Macaca mulatta: one gene and its partner. The protein of the gene in region 1 purifies or fractionates together with the protein of each later gene. This does not show direct contact. Links are inferred from orthologs where the notes say so. Each region holds a gene or a part of one and is shown on either strand. Other genes may lie near its edges.

Region 1 (3,615 bases):
GCACTGAGCGATTATCCTGAATTGGGCTGGAGTTTTCATGTTTTCTCCACTATGCTAGAGGGGAATGCACTCAAGAGCATCTCTTGCCACTCCAATAATGTTGCTTCTAATTGGTTTGGACATAAGGAGACTAGACTGTTATTTTAAGATTTCAGGTAACTTCAAAATAAGCACAATGTCTTAGGGAGTCAGGGAAAGCCCTGTTTAGTCAGTGATCCTGAATTGCTTAAAATAGGGAGTGACCTTACACCTCTAGGAGGAGGAGTAAACTATTCTTTTAGATGAGGCAGAAGAGGAGGAATGGTGGTAGTAACTAGCCCGAGATTGGCCTGTTTTGTTCCTTTGGGGCACATTGAAATCACCTGATGTGTTGTGTTTTGTTTTGTTTTGTTTTGTTTTGTTTTGTGTTGATGAGACAGGATCTCACTCTGTTGTCCAGGCTGGAGTGCAGTGATGCAATTATGGCTCACTGCAGCCTCGACCTCCCAGGCTCAGGTGATCTTCCCACTTCAGCCTCCTGAGTAGCTGGGACTACAGGTGCATGCCTCTACACCTGGCTAATTTTTGTATTTTTTGTGGAGTTGGGGTTTCACCGTGTTGCCCAGGCTGGTCTCTAACTCCTGGGCTCAAGTGATCCGCCTGCCTTGACTTCTCAAAGTGCTGACCATGAGCCACCAATCCCAATCCTGATGTTCTTTTAAAAATAAGTTTGGCCTTAACCCTATATATTCTGATTTAGTAGGGATGGGATGGAACTTGAGCACTGAGATTTTTAAAAACTACCCACATGATTCTAATGTCCAGAAAAGTTGAGGAATCATTATTCTGTTGTTACGACTCCTAACAGATACCTGTCATGATTTTGTCTTGGAGATAGCAGTTCCTTTTCGTTTTTTTCCTGAGCTGGTAAGAAGGGAGGGAAAAATCTGTTCTTGGATCTCAGTACACAGGCAGATAAAGGAAGGGTGCCAGTCTCATGGCCAATATTGTACTGACCATAGTCATTGGAACTCTTGGCTTCTTTTACTGATTCTGGAGAGTGGAACCCTGTTAATGGTAGCAAGCACAGATGACTTGCTTCTTGAGGCAGTTGTGGCCTTCATCAGTCTCAGATCAACTGATGACCCCAAAAATATTGACAAAGTACCAATGAAGCCCACATATCAAAGATAATCCTAGGCCATAAGACAGTACTGCCTAAGAGTGGACACAGCTGGGACGAATCAGGATGGGACAGGTAAGGGATTAGAGAGGCCTGTGGTTGCTTGCTAGGGTATAAACTTAGAGACTGAGGCTGCTGCTAAAGGATTGCAGATTCCTCTGCCCTAAGGAGCGAGCTCTTTGGGAGAATATAAATCATCTCTGGGACTGTTGTGATTCTTATAACTATCTGTTAAACATGCATAATCTCTTGATGTGTTTTGAGAAAATGAAAATAATTATTTGGCCCTCAGCTGATTTAGAGTTTGTGAATAATTAAATTCCCTTTGAGATGAATATATATAGGCCTGATGCCAACCCTCATGTGGTTTGTTCCCTCATTTATCGTTTCAGTAAAAGGCGTCAATTTCTATGGCCCTAAGAGTGAGTTTGTGGTGAGCGGTAGTGACTGTGGGCACATCTTCCTCTGGGAGAAATCATCCTGCCAGATTATTCAGTTCATGGAGGGGGACAAGGGAGGCGTGGTGAGTATGGTATGCTGAGCTGGCTGGCTCCCTAATCTCTCCAGTCATTAAGGTAGGTTTTAGCAGGGACACTGAATTCTGTGACTACATAATACCATGTTTTAGAGGTCCAACCAGCCATAAAAGGCTAGTTAGCCTGGGGGTGCTGAGTTTTTGATGGAGTATTTTCTTCCTGTTCCTATCTTCTGTCCCTGTAAAGCACAGTTTATTGAGACAAGAAAGGGATCTTAGGGAAGAACCTCTGTCCTGTCCTGAGTGATGTAACTTATCTCTAGGCATGCACCTTTTCCAAATGAAAAAGTGTTAGCGTTCAGGGCACACCCTCCTACACAAGGCTAAAGATTTCTCTATGTCTCTTCCCTTTAAACTAAACTAAGTAGTGATCTTGGCTGGATCTTAGATCAGCAGATAAAAACTATAAAGAGCATTTTTTGGACAGTTGGGAAAATTAGAATATGGTTTATACATTAGATAACATGGTATTCAATATTACATTTATTTGATTTGATTACTTATGTAGGAGAATATTCTTGTACTTAAGATATACATGTTGAAGTATTTAGGGGTGAAGTGTCATGCTTACATTCAAATAGGTAACAAACACATATAAATGTGTATATGTAAGGAGAAAGCAAATGTAATTTTTTTCTAGTAGTTGAGCAGTCTGCTTGCTGTATAACCCATGATCATATCATAGTCTGCCTGTCCTTTGAGTTCTGCAGACCTCTGTGGAGTTAGGTCAAAAAGGAAGAGTGAGAATCGAGTTAGGGAATGAAGAGCCATCAGCTCTCTAGATGTATCTGGTTAACCTTATCTTTTTTTTTTTTTTTTTTTTCATTTTTGAGACCTAGAATTAGGAAAGAGTTCAATTGCTTTCTGTTACAAGGTTTTTGGACCACAGGAGATGGAAAGACAGTTTGAAAGACTAAATTATACTGATTGTCTAGAATAGTCTGGTTACCCAAGACCTCTAAGGAATGACTGAGACAGCTTAGTCTCTCTTCCTTTTTATTCCTTCTTAGCTGTGGGGAACTTTACAGAGCCTAGCCATCTCTTGATGAAGTTTTTTTCAGAGAGTGGTTTTAGAATTTAGAATGGTTCCTTGCAATCAGGATCCCATTCCTTATGTTTTTCTTGCCCTGGTATGAGGGTATTTCAAATTTTCTTCTGGTTTCCTCTAAATTTTGGGGACCTGGGACCTGCATAGATCTAGGGTTTTTATGGTTTGAATACAAATGGAGAGGAATCTAGAAGTTCAAGATGTGTCTCACTCTTCCCTGCTTCATTTCCTACTCTTCCATAGGTCCCCCTGTGTCATCTGCAGTGAACAAACCCAAAACACTTGAGTCTTAATGGGAATTATGCAATAGGCATTTAGAGAAAGGAAGTCAGAAGGGGCCAGTGAATTTTTTCTTGACATAAGCTATTGCCTTGCATTCTGTTCCAGAGAGATGCAGGGCTGAATGCCCTCTGCCAGGCCAGCATTTGTCCATTCTCCAAAAGCATTCTGCAGGCCAGTTTGCTTTTAGCTCAGCCAATGCCAGGGTTTGATGATTAACCCATTTGCCCAGGTGAGGAAGGCATTTACTTGGGATGGGTGGGCCCTAGGCCTAAGTTTTAGTGGTCCTAAGAGTAAATAAGTAGAATAAGAGATATAGAGGCTACCCCTGAAGCAAATTTCCTTACATATTCTTGTCTCTGTGTAAGCTGAATGATCGATGTGGTCTTTTACTTGGCTCCCTCTGTTCTGTTTTTGGTCCTAATTTTCCAGCAGTGGGGGTCACCAGGCACTAGTTTCAATGTAGTAGACTCAGCAGTTCTATATCATGCAAATTGTAAATGTAGAGTAGAATGTAATTGTAACGTAGAATGTTAGAACCAAAGATCTTAGAAGTTATTTTCTAACTTGCCCAGATCTCCTGACTCTGAT
Region 2 (3,615 bases), on another chromosome or scaffold:
GAAGGAGAATGTTAGCTTCTTACCCTTTCAATCGATTTCCTCTTTTGTCAGTCGTGTCTATGTATATATGATGAAAACATAAATTGAGCAAGCTCCTGAGGTTTCCAACTTATTGTACATATATCCAGAGCTGTTGTGTTTTTTAAGATAAAGCATTGTTCTTGGTTTTATTATTTGTATAAAAGTTTCCCATTTATTTTATACCTAAATAGTAGATAAGGTTACTACAGGATTAAAGAGTTTGACTCTGAATTAATGGGGCATACACTTTGGGGTAAGGATTTCTTTTTATTCTTATGAAAGTTACAGATCATACTAAAGTAAGTTTTGTATTTCGTGTTTCCCACTTTTAAACCTCTTTTGTTTTTACCACTTTAAAATATTATACATGTACAAACATCTTTAATAGAATGCGGAGCTGCTTTCACCAGCAAACTTGAAGGAATGTTTAAAGACATGGAACTTTCTAAAGACATCATGATTCAGTTCAAACAGGTAAAAGTGAGTTAAACTCTTACTTAATTCCTCGAACTTAGTTATATTTAGTTATCCGCTTGCTGTGATTTGTACTGAAGAGGATAAATAGAAACGTGTTTGTTGTAATTACTTCATGGCAACTGAGGTGATATTCACAGTAGAAAAAAAACCATTGGTGAAATATAAGTATATTTGACCTACTTTAGGATTTATTTTTAACAAACACCCAGAGTAACACAAAAATAAAAATAAAATGTATTGAACTGAAGTCAGTACAAGAAGAGCTATAGTGGGAACAGGGCTTTCCCCAGCGTCTTATCATTTGGTGATTTGCATGTTCAGAGCTTGCAGTGGGGAGAGAGGAGAAGTGATAATGTAGCTGTATAAAGCCTTTGGGGACACTGGGGATAGAAAGCTAGATCCACAGTTTTGAAGATGTAGGTAGAAAGTAGTTTTGAAATGTTTAAGAACATAGGTGATAGTGATGGCAAGTTAGATTTTCCTCTTTTGGGGTTTTAGTAGTGACTTCTTTACCCCACAATGTTGCTAAGGTGGGAAGTGGAAGTGAAAGAATTAAGAAAAAATCAGGGTCAGTAAGATTATGAATTCTATAGTAGCTACCGAATGGGGCTTATCTGCTTTGCCCTTTTCCCCTCTTTTTCCTTCCCTACTCCAGGCCACTCCCTGCAGACAGGCAGTGGAGCAAGCGAAAAACTGGAGACTTGGGCTGGCTGGTGGGGTGAGGAATGGGGATTGCTGCAAGATGTTTAAGCCATGTAGGGGTATTCAAAGGTGGGGACTGCAGGTGGTATTGGGGAAAAGAGTGGAGGAGAGATCCTATAACAGCCCAGCTGTATGTGAGAAATTATTTAAGTTGATAATGCCTGTAATGAGGTCATGTGATCCTTGTATGCCTTTGTATCAAAATGTTAACCTCTGTACTTGCCTAATGCATTTTGTGTAGGCTTCATTTAAAGTCCTCTTAATAATTGCCTTTTATTTTAAGGATGGTCAGTGTTTGCATATAATTTCATAACGGGGAACTTCTTAAATAGGTTATTATGATACGAAATGTATGCAGTTTTAAGATCTCAGTGTGTGTTTTGATCTTACAGTATATGCAGAATCAGAATGTTCCGGGAAATATTGAATTAACTGTGAATATCCTGACAATGGGCTATTGGCCAACATATGTGCCTATGGAAGTTCATTTACCACCAGAGGTAAGAGTTACTGTTTAGAACCTGAGTTATAGGCATAGAAATCATAACATTTCCATTTTGCTTGTCATTTAAAAATAGATACTTAGAAAAAAATAGAGACCCAGGGCCTCGCTGTATTGCTCAGGCTGGTCTTGAACTCTTGGGCTCAAGTGATCCCCCCTGCCTCAACCTTCCAAAGTGCTGGGATTACAGGTGTGAGTCACCAGGCCTGGCATAGATACTTTTAAAAGTGAATGTCAGTAAACACACCAACACCAAATACCAACTGCTTTAATATTTTACTTTTGTACTTCTAAGTCCAGTTAAGAGCCTAGCTAATAATGCCAAAGTTCTGGGTTCAGGATCAATTTCCCTGGCTCTTCTTCCATCTTCACAGATTATACCCCTCATTCTACCTAGTTATTAAGAATTCTTGCACATATTTCATCCATAGGTGGGATTGCTAAATGATGGGTGCTTGATTAAATCTATCCTGACTCCTGGGAAACTGTCTAGCCCAGGACTGAAGTCCATAAAAGGGATTAAGGCTAGACAGCTAGATATTGAGAATCCTCCATGGAGATGGTTATGAAGGCCCAGGGAGTAGATCTGTCTCAAAGAGGAAGAAAAAACAGCAGAGGCAGAACTTTAGAAAAGGCTCACATTTGGCAGATGGTAGAAAGAGGAACCTGTGAAGGAAACCAGTGCAGAAGCAACAGTGAGATAAAGGAACCAGCATAGTATAGAGGCACAAAAGCTGCTGCAGGTCAATGTTTCAAAAGAGTGGATGATTAAATGGTTCAGATAGAGCAAAGGGTATAAATCCTAATAAATCCCATTTGATTTGGTGGTTGGGAGATCATTATTTTTCATCAAAGTGATTGGTGGACCTACTGGATATAGTCTTAAAATTTTCCAGAAATTATATCACATGAGGTAAGTATAAAAAGTGGTAAATGTGGTATTGGGTATAGAGCTTAAATAAAGCCTTATTTTATTTACTTTAGATGGTAAAACTTCAGGAGATTTTCAAGACATTTTACCTAGGCAAACATAGTGGCAGGAAACTTCAGTGGCAGTCAACCCTAGGACACTGTGTGCTTAAAGCAGAATTTAAAGAGGTAAGTGGATGTTCCCAAAACTTTTAGTTTTCATCTTTGTCTTTAATATTTAGGTCATCTTTCTTAACTAAAAGGTTAGGCTATTGTTTTGTGTTTTTTTTTTTTCAGACAGAGTCTCACTCTGTCTCAGGGTGGAGTGCAGTGGCGCTATCTTGGCTCACCGCAACCTCCGCCTCCCAGGTTCAAGTGATTCTCCTGCCTCAGCCTCCCGAGTGGCTGGGACTACAGGCGTGCGCCACCATGCCCAGCTAATTTTTTTATATTTTTAGTAGAGACGGGGTTTCACCATGTTGGCCAGGATGGTCTCTATCTCTTGACCTTGTGATCCACCTGCCTCAGCCTCCCAAAGTGCTGGGATTATAGGCATGAGCCACCGCGTTTGGCCAGTTTAAGCTATTGTTTTATAATTGTATCCTAGATATCCGCATGACGACAGTGAGAGCTTGTCATAGCTTTATGTATTTTTAAGTAATTTTAGCTGTGTGGTCTTTCCACAATTGATTTGGCCCTTTTGCAAAACGAAAAGCAATGAACTTTTCCCCTACTCTTTCCTCACCTGTAGATGAAAACTTTACACTGCCACTTCCTATTTTTATTTATTTATTTACTTTTAGAGACAGGGTCCCACTCTTGTCACCCAGGCAGGAGTACAGTGGCACAATCACAGTTCACTGTAACCTCAAACTTATGGGCTCAAGCTATCTTCCTGCCTCCGCTTCCTAAAGTGCTGGGATTACAGGCATGAGCAACTACACCCAGCCTAACACTGCCACTTCTTGACAGAAATTTTGTTGCTGGGAGCTACGAATAGAGTG

The links.
Region 2: the proteins of DCAF8 (region 1) and CUL4B purify together in Homo sapiens (affinity purification with western blotting; 7 studies listed by BioGRID and IntAct, counting the BioPlex papers as one, with this or other methods). This does not show direct contact. The link is inferred for Macaca mulatta from reciprocal best matches to the Homo sapiens genes DCAF8 and CUL4B.

What each region holds. Positions count from the first base shown.
Region 1 is NC_133406.1:106,663,506-106,667,120, forward strand, and holds part of DCAF8 (DDB1- and CUL4-associated factor 8), read left to right. Parts: intron 1-1,506; coding exon 1,507-1,685; exon of another isoform or gene 1,686-3,615. UniProt on the Homo sapiens protein: May function as a substrate receptor for CUL4-DDB1 E3 ubiquitin-protein ligase complex.
Region 2 is NC_133426.1:126,934,820-126,938,434, reverse strand, and holds part of CUL4B (cullin-4B), read left to right. Parts: intron 1-409; coding exon 410-501; intron 502-1,592; coding exon 1,593-1,700; intron 1,701-2,686; coding exon 2,687-2,800; intron 2,801-3,615.